2 linked regions of the Macaca fascicularis genome follow. The protein of the gene in region 2 purifies or fractionates together with the protein of the main gene of each other region. This does not show direct contact. Links are inferred from orthologs where the notes say so. Each region holds a gene or a part of one and is shown on either strand. Other genes may lie near its edges. The genes, in order: PHB2 and ARFGEF3.

Region 1 (10,521 bases), on a different chromosome or scaffold from region 2:
AAAGGCCCCTACCACAAAAACAATAGGATCACTGCTGGGCACCAGCTCACGCACATCACTGACAACCGGGATGGAAAAAGAAGTGCCAACTTTCATACATCCAACTGGAAAGTGATCTGATACTGGATTCTTAATTACCTAAAGTGAAAAAGAGAAAAGTCAGCCCCAGAAACATTCCCAGAACCAACCTTCAACTAGTAGGTTTCAATACCTCACCTTCAAGAGCTTCTGGGGGCCATCAGCTGCTCGAACACTGAGCTTGTGTAAAAGTTGAACTAGAAGGGGGAAAAAGAGTTCAGAGGTAAATGGAGACCATCGTCCTTCTCTGTCCAGTCATTATCTAACAAGGAAAACCCCATAGGTAAGATGAGTTCCCTGTGTGCTCTATATCCAGACTGGACTCCTGAAATGTTAGGAACGAACAGTTGCCAAGCATATGGCTAGCTGTACAGTGATAGGTTCAGACTCCGTCTTTCACTCAGCCAGGAAGCTACTGCAAGAACAGGAGAGTGGAGTTTCCACAAACAGAAAAATAATAGGAGTCCTTGTCCTGGTATTAATCATGTTGTTCTCCCATCTCCTCGCTTAAAAATCCGACATTTAGTTCTCCCTTTTCCTCTTCCTCCCTTCTTCCCTACAGACAAGTTCATTCTGAACTTTGTTCTAAGGCTTCTTACCCATGAGGCCACAAAAGCGGTCAAAGGTTCTGGGAATTCGGGTCTGGGGATTCACTTCAATCAGAACATTCTTCTGTGTATGGATATAAACCTGTAGCAAGCCAGCTCGGTTCAGGGGACTATCCATCAGCATCAGCAAACTCTGAGCAAAGCAGAAACCACGGCATGGTTAAGGCTGAAGAGAGGCAGCACTCAGCTGCCAACCCTTCCAAACAGAGGCTCAAAGGGTTGTGAGCACTGTCCCTGGAGTTACCTGGTGGGCGATGTCTGGCCGCACTTCCCCAGGGTCCCGTCCATTCTTCAACAATATAGACTTGTGCTTGTCACAGTTGAGTAGCTCGTATGTCTTCCCTACCTGAAGAACAGGGAACATGACCAAAGAACAGCATTACCTAGCCCACCACCACCAGCAGCTGCATCTGGAAACCTGTTAGGCAAATTCTCAGGCCCACCCTAGACCTACTAAACCAAAAACACAGGAGGTGGAGCCCAGCAAGCCCTTCAGGAGATTACTGTGCAGCCATATTTGCACTCCCCAGTAAATGGTCTTGGAAACAGGAGAAAGGGCACAACCTGTGACTTCACATTACCTACCAATACACTGGATTTAATTTTAAAACCTGTGGCTGTTAGGCAAGGCCAATGAGACATCCTGGAACTAGGCAGGAGTTAGTAGTTAGTGAGCAAGGCTGAATGCTTTGTTTATCACAGGAGCAGTATGTATGTACTATGCAAAACATACCATCACTACCATCAGTTTGCGTACACCAAACATGCACTAAGTGAAGAGCTGCAAATCTGAACAAGAAGAAATGTGAAAATTCTAATGATGCAGGAGGCAGCTGAATCAAAGAAAACGCAGAAGTAAAATGAAGAGGGGTTATTCCCAGTTTTAAGACTGGCATGGGGACAGGTGCAGTGGCTCAAGCCTGTAATCTCAGCACTCTAGGAGGCCAAGGAAGGCAAATCACTTAAGGTCAGGAGTTCAAGACCAGCCTGGGCAACATGGCAAAACCTCATCTCTACTAAAAATACAAAAACTAGCTGGGTGTGGTGGCATATGCCTGTAGTCTTAGCTACTTGGGAGGCTAAGGTGGGAGGATGGCTTGAGCCTGGGAGATGGAGGTTGCAGTGAGCCAAGATTGCACCACTTTACTCCAGCCTGGGTGACAGAGCAAGACCCTGTCTCAAAAAAAGAAAAAAAAAGATTGGCATGAGCAGAGGTACAGTTAGAATCAAGAAAAAGTAGCTAGGTGTGGTGGCTCATGCCTGTGATCCCAACAAGTTAGGAGGCCGAGGCGGGAGGATCACTTGAGCCCAGGAATTTGAGACCGGCCTGGGCAACACGGTGGGGCCCTGTCTCACCAAAAAAAAAAAAAAAAAAACAGGTGCAGTGGCATTTGCTGGCAGTCCCTGCTACTCAGGAGGATGAGGTGGGAGGACTGCTTGAGCCAGGGAGGTAGAGGCTGCAGTGAGCCATCACACCACTGCACTCTGTTGCCTGGGCAACAGAGCGAGACCCTGTCTCAAAAAAGAAACAAAAAAGTGGAAACGAAGAAAGGAAATTTTGAGGAAAATTGGGAGCTGGGACACTGAAGGGCAGTGATTATATATGAAGCTGCTTTGTAAACCACAAAATCCTAATGTATCGAGCACAAAGCCAAAAATCTGGAGTAAGAAGGGCAGGATGGGAATGACTGACAGACACTATCCTAACAACTCTGTGTACACTGAAAAAGACATCAGAAGTTTGATGATAAAGAAGTGGACTACATCTGTAGCAGCTAAAAGAAATAATTCCAAGTTGCAATTTGGAGTCCCAAGGAGCATTAGGGTGGTCAGTAAAAAGCCTAAAAACAAACTGTTATATACAAATACAGGTTTTGGAAGGCTAAGTTTTTTGTTTTGTTTTGTTTTTTTTGAGACTGAGTCTGGCTCTGTCGCCCAGGCTGGAGTGCAGTGGCCGGATCTCAGCTCACTGCATGCTCCGCCTCCCGGGTTTACGCCATTCTCCGGCCTCAGCCTCCGGAGTAGCTGGGACCACAGGCCCCCGCCACCTCGCCCGGCTAGTTTTTTTGTGTTTTTTAGTAGAGACGGGGTTTCACCGTGTTAGCCAGGATGGTCTCGATCTCCTGACCTCGTGATCCGCCCGTCTCAGCCTCCCAAAGTGCTGGGATTACAGGCTTGAGCCACCGCGCCCGGCTGGAAGGCTAAGTTTTTATGTATCACTAGAATGTTTGTATATGTCTAGCAACATTCTTGAGATACATGGCTCCAAAAAGTCTGCGAAAAAAGGGATACAGATTTTGAAATTGAATAGTTGAAGTAGCAATGTCACAGAGTAAGCACAAAGAAAGAACAAATGACGAAGAACTAAGTCCATGAGACATCCTTAGTTATAGAAGAAAAAACCTTCTTGAATGAATAATAGTTTCAACCCATTAGTAGGATATAACCATGTTTTCTATTCCTTTAATAGATTACAGGTGCAGGCCAGTAATCCCAGCTACTCTGGAGGCTGAGGCAGGAGAATCGATTGAACCCGGGAGGCGGAGGCTGCAGTAAGCCAAGATCATGCCACTACACTCCAGCCTGGGAGAGACTGAGGCTCTGTTTCGCGCACACACACACACACATGCACACACAAAGTGTATTTAGAACGAAGACTAAAATCCTGGTCTGACTTCTAAACCCATGCAATTTCTCCTGGGCCTACTCATTGAATTATTTCTAAAGGGTAAGAGAAAGGAGGAAGAACATTGCCCAAGGCTTTAAGATAGAGAATTGCTGGTTCTATTTATTACATGTGGAGAAAGACATGAATGATAGATAAAAATGCAGACGTAAAAGTGTTAAACAATAACCTGGTCTGGACAGTGTTTCCAGGTGGATATTAGAGAGAGGTGACTATGGACACTAATGAATTGAAACATGAAGCCCTTACAAAAAGGGAGGGCAGACTAGGCTACATAACTACCTTTCTCATCCGCCCAGTAACTTGTCTTGGGATGTGGAATGATGCAACAAACGAAACTTTCCTCTCCTTAGACTACTGTATCACAGAATCCTGGTAAACCAGTTGGAAGCAAAGAGGTGAGGGCTGGAATGGCATTCAAGAAGAGCAAAAGAAAATGAGTACTACCGGCCGGGCACGGTGCCTCACGCCTGTAATCCCAGCACTTTGGGAGGCCGAGGCGGGCGGATCACTTGAGGTCAGGAGTTCGAGACCAGCCTGGCCAACATAGTGAAACCCCATCTCTACTAAAAAAACCCAAAAAATTAGCCGGGCATGGTGGCGCGTGCCTGTAGTCCCAACGACTCCAGAGGCTGATTCAGGAGAATTGTTTGAACCCGGGAGGCAGAGGTTGCAGTGAGTCGAGATCGCGCCACTGCACTCCAGCCTGGGCGCCAGAGCGAAACGCCATCTCAAAAAAAAAAAAAAAAGAAAAAGAAAAATGAGCACTACCATCCCAGGATGTCAGATCAACGCACAGCCAACCAACCCATCTTCCTTCAAAAGCATCTTTCACCCCTCTCTGCTTTCTCCATCCACTCTGAGCCCCTCACCCTCATTCCACGGATCCCAGTCTATTGATTTACTACTTATCCACTTCCTGTCCCAAACTACCTTGACTGTCTCCAGACTGGCCCCTTCCAGCACCACAATAAGCCTACGGCCTCCGATCTTGTTTCCTGCCCCTAGTCGGGGCCGCTTGGGTGGCACAGCATCCCAGTCCTGTGCCTGCTCCCCACCGCTTCGTTCACGAGGCTTGAATCCACCACTGGGCGCGGCCATCTTGCAACCAGACCGGAAGTTGCGCTAACGCTCTTAAATGAGAACAGTGAGGCTTCTAATCACAAATTTCCTTCCGGCTGCCATTTTGAAAGTGGGCTTGTAAATGGCGATGACTTGCCGTCTTGCGCTGCCCTCCCTGGGAGGGCAGCCCTCCAGAAAGGGGCGGGACTTCCGTATGCGCTCTTCCTGTGCGCGAAGTTCGGGTCGGTAGTGGGCTAAGGGGGAGGGTTTCCAAGGGAGCGCACTTCCGGTGCCCTTTCTTTCGCCAGCATTACGGGCCCGAACCCTCGTGTGAAGGGTGCAGTACCTAAGCTGCAGCGGGGTAGAGGCGGGCCGGCACCCCCTTCTGACCTCCGGTGCCGCCGGCCTCAAGATCAGACATGGCCCAGAACTTGAAGGACTTGGCGGGACGGCTGCCCGCCGGGCCCCGGGGCATGGGCACGGCGCTGAAGCTGTTGCTGGGGGCCGGCGCCGTGGCGTACGGTGTCCGCGAATCCGTGTTCACTGGTGAGCAACCTTCGCCTGCTCGCCGGACGCTTCCAGTCCCTCCCCCAAACCCCTTGCCCTATCTCACCGGTCCCCGCGCCCCACCACGAGCCTAGCTAGCATTTACTCTGAGCAGCGGCCTGGCCTGATCACCACCCCTCTCCCCACAGTGGAAGGCGGGCACAGAGCCATCTTCTTCAATCGGATCGGTGGAGTGCAGCAGGACACTATCCTGGCCGAGGGCCTTCACTTCAGGTAATGGCGGGCAGAGCTTACTGACCCTGACCTTTCACCCTTGACGCCGACCCAGCAGTGGCTGTAGTGGGACGTGCAACAGGATTCAACGCTGCTCTTTTCCCTCTCTCCTCATCCCTGCTCGTAGGATAGTGGGTGCTGCGCGAACCTCCAGCAGCATATGAACTGTTGTTTTCGAAAGGGACAAGAGAATCTCTCCTTGTCGGTGGTCATGGGGAGGAGCAGGCCAAAAAACGCCTGGTGAGGGGAAACCGGGCAAAGCTAGTGAAACTGCGGCTTTTTTTGGGGAGGGGGGCGCGGGAGTTTTGCTGTGTCGCCCAGGCTGGAGTGCAGTGGCGCGATCTCGGCTCACTGCATCCTCCGCCTCCTGGGTTCAAGCGATTCTCCTGCCTCAGCCTCACGATTAGCTGGGATTACAGGCGCCCGCCACCACGCCCGACTAATTTTTGTATTTTAGTAGAGACGGGGTTTCACTATATAGGTCAAGCTGGTCTCGAACTTCTGACCTCAAATGATTCGGCCGCCCAAAGTGCTGGGATTCCAAGCGTGAGCCACCGCTCCTGGCCGAAACTGCGGCCTCTTAATACCTATCCCTGTCCCCTCCAGGATCCCCTGGTTCCAGTACCCCATTATCTATGACATTCGGGCCAGACCTCGAAAAATCTCCTCCCCTACAGGCTCCAAAGGTAGGTCTGAGCACTTGGTAATCACATGGCAGGTGGGATGATCAAGGGAGCTGGCAAGAAACCCCAGGTGAAGATGGTAGTGTCAGGCCTTTAGGCCTTAGTTTCCATGTCTGCAAGAACTGTAACAAAAATACCTGCCTCCCGGGGTCAAAGCAGCACATTCTGAACACCCTGTGTTTGCGTGCTTTCTACTGTCTCATCCCTGACGTATTCATTAAGAGTATTGTTTGTCTTTTGTCTTATGCACTGCCTAGATCAAAGCCTTGTTTTAAAGCCTTTTTTTCTAACTGCTTGACTTACTATATCTACAGTTACATCCACTAGTATACTCTGTTCAGGAGAAGTTTGTCCCTACCCTTGACTAGTTCACCTGTTCTCTCCTTCTAGACCACACATAAAAGCCATGCCTTTGAGTTTCCCAGACCTCTTCCTCCTCCACACACACACACACACACACACACACACACACGCACACACGCATACACCCTGGGTGAGGTAGGTCACCTGTAACCTGTAATGTACTTCTTTGTACTATACCTAGTGCAGGTGGCTTATTCATTTACTAGACTGCTGGGCCCTGGAATACAAGATTCATTAAGCACATTTTTGTCCCCCAAGTCCTTACAGGAGACGTGATTACGGTACAGCGTGAAAGCACCCACATTAGAGGTTGCATGGAGTACAGAGGGGGAAAGAGCAGTCAGCCCTGCTGGTGACGGGGTTGCAGTTCCAGGCTTCACAGTGGGTGAGGGTGCATTTCACCTGTGCTGCTTCATGTGTTCCTTGTCAGCCTGATTAACTCTCCTCCCCCCAGGGCAGTGCCAGGCTGTACATCATTGCACAGGGCATATAGGGAGGAACATGAAGGAGAAAAATGCTTGGGAAAGGGTGTTTGGCCTTGACCAGCCACTGCTGACCTCAATCTCAGACCTACAGATGGTGAACATCTCCCTGCGAGTGCTGTCTCGACCCAATGCTCAGGAGCTTCCTAGCATGTATCAGCGCCTAGGGCTGGACTACGAGGAACGAGTGTTGCCGTCCATTGTCAACGAGGTGCTCAAGAGTGTGGTGGCCAAGTTCAATGCCTCACAGCTGATCACCCAGCGGGCCCAGGTCTGACTCCCACCACCATCTGCATGGTGTCAGCCTTTCCCTTCTAGGCCCAGAGTACTGGGAATTAGGAAAGGCAGCTTAATAGAAGAGGATTGTCACCCTAGTGCCATTTCCACCTAAAAGCTGTGCTAATTGCCACTGTGAGATAAGGAGAGCCAGCATTAGAACTCGGTAGCACTTGGTATTAGGAAGCACAGAGGAAAATGACCAAGTCTTGGCTTTTCCTGCACCTCTTTCAGCAGAGAGGCTTATGTTATAGGTTTGCCTGACAGGAAGCTAAGGCAGCGCATATTGTATTGAGAGAGTGAAGGATTCGGGGTCGCAACCCAGTCCCCTCAAACCACCCTTCCCCACCCCTGCCCCCAGGTATCCCTGTTGATCCGCCGGGAGCTGACAGAGAGGGCCAAGGACTTCAGCCTCATCCTGGATGACGTGGCCATCACAGAGCTGAGCTTTAGCCGAGAGTACACAGCTGCTGTAGAAGCCAAACAAGTGGGTGAGTTGCACGAGCAGTGGGGTGAGGGCTTCCGAGATGCAGGAGGAGGAAAGACTCCGTGGACGGGGTTCCTGACCCAGCACACGGTCTCCCTGACTCTCTCCCGCTACAGCCCAGCAGGAGGCCCAGCGGGCCCAATTCTTGGTAGAAAAAGCGAAGCAGGAACAGCGGCAGAAGATTGTGCAGGCCGAGGGTGAGGCCGAGGCTGCCAAGATGATATCCTTCTGCGTGAGAGGTCTCGGCCCAGTCCCTAGGGCGCCTGAGTTCCCCATCCTCCTTCACGGGCAGGCTGATGAGACTAAGGCGAATGCGACTCCGTGCTCTCTGGCCCTTGGCTCCTTGTTGCGGGTGGGGGCTACAGATGAGATCTGAAATCTTAGCGGGGGTACCTGAGCCCTGACTCCCCACTGTAAGGCCAGATCAATAGCACTGCTGGCCTTGCCTTCATTTCTGCTGCTGCCCCTAGTTCCTGGCAGCAGCCTGCAGGGAGGCCCACAGGTGGGGTCCAAGGTAGAGCGGGCACAAGCCACCTGAGCGCAACCTTGGATCTGACAGCCCAGAGGAGGACTGTAGCAAGGGAGTGTGGTAAGGACGGGGCTAGGGATTGAGACCTGCCCTTGTGTGAACCTTAACCCTCCTCACCTTGGAGAAGCACTGAGCAAGAACCCTGGCTACATCAAACTTCGCAAGATCCGAGCAGCCCAGAATATCTCCAAGACGGTGAGTGTGTCAGCCCAGCGTCTCTGATGGGGCTGCCTTGAGAAAGTGCTTTCAGTTAAGGCACATTGAGGTGAGGGAATTCGAACCTTGCTTGTTCGGGTTTCTACTCAGAGTGGTTTTATGGCCGGCGCAGTGGATCACCTGAGGTCAGGAGTTCAAGACCCACCTGGCCAACATGGTGAAACCCCATCTCTACTAAAAATACAAAAGAAAATTAGCCTGCTGTGATGGCGTTTAGCTATATTCCCAGCTACTCAGGAGGCTGAGGCAGGAGAATCACTTGAACCCAGGAGGCAGAGGTTGCAGTGAACTGAGATCACGCCACTGCACTCCAACCTGGGCAACAGAGCAAGATTCCGTCTCAAAAATAAATAGCCGGGCGTGGTGGCTCACGCCTGTAATCCTAGCACTTTGGGAGGCCGAGGTGGGCGGATCACAAGGTCAGGAGTTCAAGACCAGCCTGGCCAAGATGGTGAAACCCCATCTCTACTAAAAAAATACAAAAAAAATTAGCTAGGCGTGGTAGCGGGCACCTGTACTCCCAGCTACTCAGGAGGCCGAGGCAGAGAATCGCTTGAACCTGGGAGGTAGAGGTTGCAGTGAGCCGTGATAGCACCTCTGCACTCCAGCCTGGGCAATAGAGCGAGACTCTGTCTCAAAAAAAATAAGTAAATAGGCCAGGTGCAGTGGCTCACACCTATAATCCCAGCACTTTGGGAGGCCGAGGTGGGCGGATCACGAGGTCAGGAGATCGAGACCATCCTGGCTAACACGGTGAAACCCCGTCTCTACTAAAAAAATACAAAAAATTAGCCGGGCGTGGTGGCGGGCACCTGTAGTCCCAGCTACTTGGGAGGCTGAGGCAGGAGAATGGCGTGAACCCGGGAGGCGGAGCTTGCAGTGAGCCGAGATCGCACCACTGCACTCCAGCCTGGGTGACAGAGCGAGACTCCATCTCAAAAAAAAAAAAAACTAAGTAAATAAAAAACAGCCGGGCGCGGTGGCTCAAGCCTGTAATCCCAGCACTTTGGGAGGCCGAGACGGGCGGATCACGAGGTCAGGAGATCGAGACCATCCTGGCCAACACGGTGAAACCCTGTCTCTACTAAAAATACAAAAAAAAACTAGCCGGGCGAGGTGGCGGGTGCCTGTAGTCCCAGCTACTCGGGAGGCTGAGGCAGGAGAATGGCGGGAACCCGGGGGGCGGAGCTTGCAGTGAGCCGAGATCTGGCCATTGCACTCCAGCCTGGGTGACACAGCAAGACTCCGTCTCAAAAAAAATAATAATAATAATAATAATAATAAATAAATAAATAATTGGCTTCTCCAGTACTTTTCCCCTCATCAAGAATGATTCCTCTGGATTCCCTGACCTTTTGTTCTTGCCTCTGTTACTTTGCTAATAGTCATAGGTGCTGCTCAGTGCTCTAGATCCCTAAATGAGAGTAGAAACCATGTCTTATTCATTGCTGTATCCCTGCACTAATCTGCATGTGTTCCATTAAGTGGCTACTGAATTGCAGGGGTGGAATTGAGGTCTTTGTATTTCCTGCCCTGTAGATCGCCACATCACAGAATCGCATTTATCTCACGGCTGACAACCTCGTGCTGAACCTACAGGATGAAAGTTTCACCAGGTGAGAGATGGGACCACACAGTGGGGTCTCACAAAGAACGTGGGACTTGGGTCTGGGTGCTTGGGCTCTGGAGCCTGCTACAGCTATTCATATGGCTCTGAGAGACATTGAACCAAAATTAGAAAAGGGGGTGGTTGACAGTTTCTATCTTGTGTCTCATAGGATTGATTTTATGAGATCAAATAGGATTATTCACATAAAAAGCACTTTAATTATAAAGTTTTCATCCAACCAAAAAGTGATGAAAGATGATACTGAGTGTTCTTACTCAAGAGCCCTCAAACTCCTTTGGTGCGGGGAGGGATGTTAGGAAAGGAGATGAGAAATAGCAGTGGCCATGAGAACACGCCACCTCCTTTCATGAATCAGAGATTCCTGGCTGTCAACCCTGTTTGTCTTTTCTCTTGGGAGCAAAGGAGGGTTCAAAACTGAGTGGGGCCTGAAGCTGTCAGCTAACATGTGCATTTCTCTTCTCTGCTTCCTGTTCATCTGGCGATCTGGCACCACAGAGGAAGGTAAGTTGTTGCTACTTCTGTGGGGTCCTGCAGGCCACCTTCTCCTAGTACCTGCCTCCTACCCTACTCCCTTTCCCACCTCCCCGCAGACAAACCCTCAATCGGGGTAGGAGGGTCGTAGAGGGAATGGCCTGGAGTGT
Region 2 (9,889 bases):
TTTCTTAGGGAAGGTAATAAAAAACAATGTTGTGAGCGAAGGGTTTCACGCCTTCACCAGGCTGATTAAACTCACCCCTCTGGTGGTGCTTCCTGCGTCAGGGATCCAGGATCCTAGGGGAGTGGGGTTCAAATGTCAGAGCAATTTCTCAGGGGGAGCATTTCCTTCAGGCAGCCTGTGCCCAGAGCCAGCCTGCTTTCCTTCTTTGACTTGGAGACTTACTGAATGCTACTCTCACCATTTTCCCGGTTACTGGGGACAAGAAGATGAATAAGGTAGTGTCCCGTCCCTTGAGGATGTTATAGGTGTCATGGGGACAGACTTGTCTGATGACTAAAAAATTTCCCTTTTTAGTTCACATCCTTATAGTATGGACAGAAAACATTAGAACAAACTGATAGCTTTTGGACCAAGTTGGTATAAGCTTTTGGAGCCCTCTTTTTCAGAAGAACACGTGTTCGGGTTTACTGGTAGCTTAAGTAGGAGCTGAGGCTGGGGAAATGGAGAGTTGTTTAATGGGTACAAAGTTTCTGTTAGAAATGATGAAAAAGTTTTAGCAATAGATAGCAGTAATGGTTACACAACATTATGAATATACTTAATATCACTGAATTGTATACACAAAAAATTAAAATAGTAACTTTTATGTATTATTTTACCACAAAAAAGTGAACGTGATTTATTTTAAAAGGTTGCTGTTTTTGAGAGTAATGTGTTTTCCCTCAGTGAGGACTAGACAAAGGGCAAAGTTGACATTGAGATTTATGCAGGATTTGTCATTTTCTGCTGTTAGAAAAGCACTTTTCCTACTTATACAAATTTTTACATTCAAAGTCATAGTGAGACATAAAGCAAAATGTTATTAACATGATGGCTAGACCTTTGAAATTAATAACAGTTGTCATAATTTTATAATTATCCAGTTTGGGGCATTAATTGGCCATATAATGGCCTCAACTATTTTCATAAAATTCTAAGAGCAGTGAAAAGAAATGAAACTGGAAACCAAAACCACACTGAACCACACTGGTGAATTTAAAAATTTGGCAAACATAGGACAGGTTGAGCATCCCTAACCCCAACTTTTTGAGTGCCAGCGAGACACCACAAATGGAAAATTCCACACCTGACCTCATGCGATGGGTTATAGGAAAACCCAAAATGTATTCTGTGTTCCCAAGGGCAAAAAAAGCCCCCAGCCCCCTTCAACTGTGATATCTTTTCACAAATATATCTTGATGTTAACTGTTAATTTGGCATCATAACTTATATTCTATAGCTTTGGGAATTTTTTAAAGTGTCAAGAAGTCCACTAGTTGTGATTAAAATGGTTATCATGTAATACCCAAAAAGTATGCCTTTTTTCACGGAAGACATTTGAGTAGAGGTAGTTTAGTTTGTAAATTTGCATATATCATTCTGAAATGGGTAACGTCTATATTGCTTTGAAATACCTGATGTAGGGCAGAAAACCATTCATCGATCCCTCTCTTTTCACTTGAAGCGTGTCTTTCAGGGAAATTGTGGTGAGCCTGCTGTCCCATCAGGTGTTACTCCAGAACTTATATGACATCTTGTTAGAAGAGTTTGTCAAAGGCCCCTCTCCTGGAGAGGAAAAGACGATCCAAGTGCCAGAAGCCAAGCTGGCTGGCTTCCTCAGATACATCTCCATGCAGAACTTGGCAGTCATATTCGACCTGCTGCTGGACTCTTACAGGACTGCCAGGGAGTTTGACACCAGCCCCGGGCTGAAGTGCCTGCTGAAGAAAGTGTCTGGCATCGGGGGCGCCGCCAACCTCTACCGTCAGTCTGCGATGAGCTTTAACATTTATTTCCACGCCCTGGTGTGTGCTGTTCTCACCAATCAAGAAACCATCACGGCCGAGCAAGTGAAGAAGGTCCTTTTTGAGGACGACGAGAGAAGCACAGATTCTTCCCAGCAGTGTTCATCGGAGGATGAAGACATCTTTGAGGAAACCGCCCAGGTCAGCCCCCCGAGAGGCAAGGAGAAGAGACAGTGGCGGGCACGGATGCCCTTGCTCAGCGTCCAGCCTGTCAGCAACGCAGATTGGGTGTGGCTGGTCAAGAGGCTGCACAAGCTGTGCATGGAACTGTGCAACAACTACATCCAGATGCACTTGGACCTGGAGAACTGTTTGGAGGAGCCTCCCATCTTCAAGGGCGACCCATTCTTCATCCTGCCCTCCTTCCAGTCCGAGTCATCCACCCCATCCACGGGGGGCTTCTCTGGGAAAGAAACCCCTTCCGAGGACGACAGAAGCCAGTGCCGGGAGCACACGGGCGAGTCCCTGAGCCTGAAGACCGCTGGTGGGGACCTGCTGCTGCTGCCCCCCAGCCCCAAAGTAGAGAAGAAGGATCCCAGCCGGAAGAAGGAGTGGTGGGAGAATGCAGGCAACAAAATCTACACCATGGCGGCCGACAAGACCATTTCAAAGTTGATGACCGAATACAAAAAGAGGAAACAGCAGCACAACCTGGCCGCGTTCCCCAAAGAGGTCAAAGTGGAGAAGAAAGGAGAGCCACTGGGTCCCAGGGGCCAGGACTCCCCACTGCTTCAGCGTCCCCAGCACTTGATGGACCAAGGGCAAATGCGGCATTCCTTCAGCGCAGGCCCCGAGCTGCTGCGACAGGACAAGAGGCCCCGCTCAGGCTCCACCGGCAGCTCCCTTAGTGTCTCGGTGAGAGACGCAGAAGCACAGATCCAGGTACACCCCTGCGGCCAGAGGAGGTGGGCGGGAAGCTGGGTTTCCAGTACTGAATGGGCCCCCCTTGCAGAGCAGGCTCACACAGGCTAATTTATAGAAACAGGTAGGGAGTACGAACCAATTTCCCTCCAAAGTCAGAGGACTGCCCGAGCCTAAGTGCAGGATTTCCCAGTATCAGTATATCATTATGAAGCTGGAATTTTACTCTCAGGTAATTTCAGGAACTGTTTTTCTCCATTGTAATGTGTATTATTGAAAATTAGGAACTTAGCTGTATAAATAAGATGAGGCTAAAGCTTATAAAATGTAAGCTTTTTCAAGACCAGCCTGGACAACAAGGCAAAACCCATCTCTACAAAAAAAGAAATACAAAAATTAGCTGGGAAAGGTGGCACATGCCCGTAATCCCAGCTACTTGGGAGGCTGAGCCAGGAGGATTGCGTGATCCCAGGAGGTAGAGGTTGCAGTGAGCTGAGATAGTGCCACTGCACACCAGTTTGGATGCATAGGGAAACCCTGTCTTAAAAAAAGTAAGCTTTAACTGGCATCGAGTTCTTAGTGTGTCATTCAAAAATGGCACTGAAGAAATTCTGTAGTTATGAAGCATTATACAAACGAAAAAAGCAAATATTGTGTGGTTATGCCAATTAACTTTTTTCAAATTGTTTTCATCTCAACTTTTTCTAGCCCATCCTGTGCACATAAAAATTCTCAATCTTCAGGGGGGCTTAGAGTGTAATTCTATGGTGCATCAAAAAATGAGTTTGAGATGAATGGCCTATGGAGATCTCATTGTGAGAAGGCAAGGGAGGTTTTTTATTTTTGCTTTTGTTTTTTCTAATCTAAGGAGTAAGAGTTTAGTAGTTTGTGAAAGCTGAAAATAAGGCGAATCTCTGCCCATCTTTATGGATGTGAAATTATGATGTAGGCATAATAAATTAATATGCCTACAATTTATTACAGGCATATTAAATGAACAAAAACTAATTTATTGCAACTACAGCCTGAAAAAAAAAACCATTTCCACATTGGCAGGGCCGCTCTCAAGTGTTCAAATAAAACCAGGGGGGAAAGCCACTAATTTTCTTAAATCCTTTCTCTTAGGCATGGACCAACATGGTGCTAACAGTTCTCAATCAGATTCAGATTCTCCCAGACCAGACCTTTACGGCCCTCCAGCCCGCAGTGTTCCCGTGCATCAGTCAGCTGACCTGTCACGTGACTGACATCAGAGTTCGCCAGGCTGTGAGGGAGTGGCTGGGCAGGGTGGGCCGTGTCTATGACATCATTGTGTAGACATCATTGTGTAGCAGACTCCTATTCCACTCCGCCACCAAACAGCAGTAGTGAGGGTTAGAGTCTGCCTGCCTATCCAACTGTTGCGTTTTCCCCACCACCAGCCCCACTTAAACTAGTGTCTCAGAGAACAATGTTTCCTAATGTAAAAAGCCTTTCCAACCACTGATCAGCATTGGGGCCATGCTAAGGTTTGTATCTAGATGACACAAACGATATTCTGATTTTGCACATTATTATAGAAGAATCTATAATCCTTGATATGTTTCTAACTCTTGAAGTATATTTCCCAGTGCTTTTGCTTACAGCATTGTCCCCAAATGGGTCATTTTCAAGGGTTACTCATTTGAAAACACTATATTGATCTATCATCTTAAAAATAAATATAATTCCTAAGGCAATATCTGCTGGTAAATCAAGCTGATATGTAAACTCAGACATCTAGTACCAGGGATTATTAACTGGAGGAAGATTTATGATTATGGGTTTGGCTGGGAAGAAGACAACTATAAAAACATATTCTTGGGTGTCATAATCAAGAAAGAGGTGACTTCTGTTGTAAAATAATCCAGAACACTTCAAAATTATTCCTAAATAAGATTTTCAGCTATTCACCAATTTCCCCATATAAGGTACTGTTGTGCCTTGATTTCTGTATGATTTCTGTATGTCTAAAAGAAGAAAGTTCTTTCCTAGCAGGGTTTGAAGTCTGTGGCTTGTCAGCCTGTGACACAGAGTACCCAGTGAAAGTGGCTGATACATAGATCGTCGAGAGACATGAGACCGACCAGCCACCCTGGCTGTTCTCGTGGTGTTTGCTTCCGTCCCCAAGGCAAACAAGGAAAGGAAAGAAAAAATGGTGCCTTAGTCTTTTGTTGCACTTACATTTCCATGCCCCACAATTATCTGAACGTAAGGTATAACGTTTGGTTTTTAAGACAACAAAACAGTAAAACACAACTCATTTTATATCAACACACTTGGAGGAAAGGGACTCAGGAAGGGAGCAGGGAGTGTGGGCTAGGGATAGATTATGATGAAATCATTTTCAATCTTAAAATATAACACAACAATCTTGCAAAATTATGGTGTCAGTTACACAAGCGCAAGTCTCATAAAATGAAGGCAATGGAGAAAGACACTGAAATTTAGAAAATTTTGTCTATTTAAAATATTTCTCCTATCTAGCAAGTAAAGTTACCCTACGTTTGATGTCTTTTCATTCAGACCAATATTTCAGGTGGATATTTCTAAGTACTGAAAGCTTTATCTTATTATTTACAGTATTTTTACATTATCCTAATGATTGAAAACTCCTCAATCAAGCTTACTTACACACATTCTACAGAGCAGAGTTAGTTGTTAAGGCATACATTATAATTTCTCAGCTCTATTCGTAATGAATAAGTCACCCTTTAAATAAAAGACAAATTCTGCAGTCTTGAAACACGGATTTAAAAGGGTATTTGCAAACTTTGCCCTCCTTGAGAAACATGGAACTAACTTAGAGGTTAAGAGGAAGGCAGTGTTGTGACTTCTTCAGGTGATCTGAAAGAAAGACCCTTATCATTCTGTGTGCCATCTAGAGATCACCACAGAATCCATTTTTTTCCCAGTTCCACAGAACACTCTGTTTGCCTTCATTTTTCACTCACTAGACAATAATTCAAGTTTAGAAACAGGTAATCAGCTATTTGATCTTAAAAGGCAATGAATTGTTGGGATATCAGTGAACTATGTTGTATACTTTTGAATTTTTATACTTTATAAATGGAATTGAAAGTTGGATAACTGCTTTTTTTTTTTTATTTTCCAACAGAAGTAACACCACAGTTGTTTTGTTTCTTTTTATAGCTTACCTGAGGTTCAGTTCTTCTTTGTGAACCTGCAAGTACTCCACAGTTTACTGGGGGAAAAGGCCTCAGTAAAGCAGAGGCCAGAATTACAGTATTTATACATAGCAACTTTTCATAAAGTAGAAAAATTCAAAGGAAGCTGTCTCAATTTGTGAATACCAGCTGGGCGCAGTGGCTCATGCCTGTAATCCCAACACTCTGGGAGGCCGAGGTGGGCGGATCACATGCGGTCAGGAGTTTGAGACCAGCCTGGACAACATGGTGAAACCCCGTCTCTACCAAATATGCAAAAATTAGCTAGGTGTGGTAGCATGCACCTGTAATCCCAGCTACTCAGGAGGCTGAGACAGGAGAATCGCTTGAACCCAGGAGGCGGAGGTTGCAGTGAGCCGAGATTGTGCCATTGCACTCCAGCCTGGGCGACAAGAGTGAAACTCCATCTAAAAAAATGATAATTGTGAATACTGTGTCCCAAAGTATGTTAGTTATTTGGAAATCAGCATTCTCCCTGATGCTCTATTATGGGATCCAAAATTCTTGAACATAAGTTTACCCTATACTGTGTCCGAACACTGTTCTAGTTCTAGCCTGAATATGGGTCCCAAGAATAAAAGGATGAGAAGGTGTACAGAGCTCTTGACCTATAATTTAAAGAGTGTTTTGGTACCTTCCCATTGTCTTCTCTATAACCCAGTCCTGACATACTCTGCACTTGAGTTACTGGACATCCACACTGACATCAGATTTCAACCAGAAGCATCACTGAGTGACAGCAGTACTTCTCAGAGGTATTTGCAGCTTGATGCAAAGTAGTCTCTAATAAGTAGGCCTTCAGGTGATTCTTCCCAGCAGGTGGAGAAGCAAGGGAGGAGATGAAGAACACTGAGAGGGGAGTGGCACTTTCCCAGACCGCCCAGCTCAGTCTCTTGCCCTGTTCCTGTGACTCAGCTGCCCACCCCCAAACTTGTTTCACTCCCTCCCAGTCTCTGAAAGTGTCAGGTGTTTCTCTCCTCACAGTCTCTTTTGCAGCAACAGTAAGACAAAATTCAAAGCAGCCTTTTAAAGTGAAGAACAGTTATTAGCATGTATTTACAGACCTAAGCAGAATGAAAGTTTATACATTGTTTTTAGTTGCCTGTATTTATAGCCAAAACTTTATTACCCTAAAGTTGAGATCTTTCTCTTCTTTTCCTAAATTTTGGTAAAGTGTGCTTCATGAAACAAACATCTGGAAAACTCCAAGTATAAGAGACCTGGGACTGATGATGGCCCAGCCAAGTGTATGGAGGGACAGAGTTCTCTCTGTCATTAATGAGGACATCGGTTTTCACAACTGAACCTCATGCACTGTCCATAGCATCTCACCTAGCTCTTGTGTCTCCTGATCATATTTTAAAAATAGACTGCCTTTTTACACAATCTTCTCTCCTCTTATGATAATTTTCCAGCCCTTACCATAGATATAAAACTAGAACACTTTTATTATTTGGGGTCTATGTAATGACTGACCAATAAGAACCCAGACAGATACTAACATACTTAACAGCTCTCATTAAAATACTTTAAATCAGGCATGGTGGCTCATGCCTGTAATCCCAGCACTTTGGGAGGCTGAGGCAGGTAGATCTCTTGAGGTCAGGAGTTTGAGACCTGGCCAACATGGTGAAACCCTGTCTCTACTAAAAATACAAAATTAGCTGGGCATGGTGGCAGCCACCTGTAATCCCAGCTACTTGGGAGGCTGAGGCAGGAGAATTGCTTGAACCTGGGAGGTGGGGGTTGCAGTGAACCAAGATTGCACTCTAGCCTGGGTGACAAAGTGAGACTTCTTCTCAAAAAAAGTAAATAAAAATAAAAATTTTAAATCAAACATGACAAAAATGTTGATATAATTCAAAAGTTCCTTGAAATTGAAACATATTGGTACAATGATCATTAGGCTTTTCGTCCTTGTTGTTTTAAAATAGCCTTGGCTGTGAGAAGGTAATGCAGTTATGTAATAGATATCCTTGATTTTACCAGAAAGGAAAATCCATCAGTATCAGTCCCATCAAAGTAAACAGAATGAAGACCTTTGTGTAGAGCTGACAGTAATAACAAGAGGTTACAAATAGCAGGGAGGAAGAGAGTGGTGAATGTCACTGTGATTGCAAACCTTTACCTGTATTATCACACGTAGTCCTCACAACAACCTTGTGAGACAAGTATTGTGTTCCTCATTTTTTCAGATGAGAACACAGACCCAGAGAGGTTCAGAAACTTGCCCAAGATAACAAGCAAAAGGCAAAGTTGGTTGCAAAAGAGGTGTTTCTGAATTCAAAGGCCATACTCTCTCTGACAACATGCTGTAAGTCCACAGAGTAAGCACTCTAGTATGAGAAAAAGTTTCAAGGAATGAGGCCATTAAAATGAGACTATTTGACATCTCAGATCTGTCTGGGATGTTACGGAGGTTTTTAAAAATAAAGTTGAAAAAAGAAAATGAATCGTGTTTATACATTAAAAAATCATATGTAACACATTTCAAGTGTTTGAAAATAAAGCCAAAATCTAAACTTTAATCTTCAAGCAGACATTCAGTGTTACTTTAGAAAACTCACTGAATTAGGCAGAAATGATGGAATAATACTGTTCATGGCCAGCTGTTAACACAGAAGTACATGGCAGCCTGTGTCTAGAATGGCATGCACGATTTGTAAACCTTTTTCAAATATCATTTAATCAACTCAGAATAAAGTGCCCTGTAGCCAACAGTGCCTCTTTACTTGCTTCTCTGGGAAATACATGGTACTAAATTTGTAGCACAAAGTTTGGGAATATGCAAAATAATGGATAACCATTTTTCAAAATGTACATTCTCTGAAGAGGAAGCAGCTGGTTGGACAAGATTGCTTGAAGAACCAGGTGCTAAGGGCATCAAGTCGACATCCTTAGTAACCATGTGCCATAACATCTACACATTTCCACTTGTTTTACAGACAAAGAAACAGGCAGAAGGAAAATCCAGAGTCTTGCAGTAAGCAGATGACAAGACTTCAATATGCTTGGGCACCACTTAGGTGACCCCAGGGAGATTTAGTGTGGCCTTAGGAAAGCAAAAGAGCACTTTTTATTGGAAATATGAGCTTGTTACTGGGAAAGATTTGTAAACTTGGTCAAGAACTTGATTTATAATTACGCCTCCTCAAAAAAAAGTTCTCATTTAGTAGTGGAGCAATCTAGAAAACATACCTTTTTTGTTTGTTTGGAAGATCCTTTTTCTCTGGCTATATTGTAGTGTTTGCTATTTGATGTGGAAATAATAACTTAAGATTTTGGAACAGAACACCCTTTAGATTTCCAAAACACAATTCTTATTTCAGGGAAGACAGACCAAAAATATCTCCTGAGATCATCAGTTTCTTTATAAATTGTGGTACCATTCTATCATTGAAGAGAAACCACTACCACACCACGAGCACCATACAAAACCTTTTCTCTGTATCTTTGTACAATACTACAAAGGGGTACCAGGGAGGAAGAGTGGCTGACCACTTTGGTGACAAAATGGCACTCCACTGCTGGTGAATTCCATCTAATTATGGTCCTTCCACCCTTTTCAACCACCAAAAACTGTTTTTACTGTTAATTCCTATCCTGAAGGTTTAACCAGTGGTTGTCCCATATCTTTTGTCTTTAGAACAGTGGTTCTCAAACTTTAGTACACATCAGTATCACCTGGAGGGCCTGTTAAGACACAGATTGCTGGGCTCCTGCTCAGAGTTTCCAGTTAAGTAAATCAGGAAATTTGCATTTCTAACAAGTTTATAGGTGAGGCCAATACTGCTGTTTTGGGAACTATGCTTTGAGAACCACTGCCTTGAAAAAGTTTCCAACTACTACCTTTAAGATCAACCTGACTTATCAAACGCTAGAGAAAAACTGAATCTATCCTTGGGCAGACAACTTGGGATTGGATTCTATACAGCAGTCTTGCTCAATCTTCCCAGTTTCCAGTTTTATTATACCAAC

Evidence for each region.
Region 1: the proteins of ARFGEF3 (region 2) and PHB2 purify together in Homo sapiens (affinity purification with western blotting; 4 studies listed by BioGRID). This does not show direct contact. The link is inferred for Macaca fascicularis from reciprocal best matches to the Homo sapiens genes ARFGEF3 and PHB2.

The regions. Positions count from the first base shown.
Region 1 is NC_088385.1:7,905,705-7,916,225, reverse strand, and holds the start of PHB2 (prohibitin-2), read left to right. Parts: upstream 1-4,728; 5' UTR 4,729-4,853; coding exon 4,854-4,980; intron 4,981-5,129; coding exon 5,130-5,214; intron 5,215-5,820; coding exon 5,821-5,900; intron 5,901-6,828; coding exon 6,829-7,013; intron 7,014-7,379; coding exon 7,380-7,509; intron 7,510-7,621; coding exon 7,622-7,725; intron 7,726-7,794; exon of another isoform or gene 7,795-8,063; intron 8,064-8,151; coding exon 8,152-8,229; intron 8,230-9,789; coding exon 9,790-9,866; intron 9,867-10,277; coding exon 10,278-10,381; intron 10,382-10,521. Other genes in the region: EMG1 (ribosomal RNA small subunit methyltransferase NEP1), read right to left, coding at 1-138, 217-275, 678-819, 931-1,032, 4,306-4,473.
Region 2 is NC_088378.1:42,368,646-42,378,534, forward strand, and holds part of ARFGEF3 (brefeldin A-inhibited guanine nucleotide-exchange protein 3), read left to right. Parts: intron 1-1,504; coding exon 1,505-2,726; intron 2,727-3,830; coding exon 3,831-4,022; 3' UTR 4,023-9,889. UniProt on the Homo sapiens protein: Participates in the regulation of systemic glucose homeostasis, where it negatively regulates insulin granule biogenesis in pancreatic islet beta cells. Also regulates glucagon granule production in pancreatic alpha cells.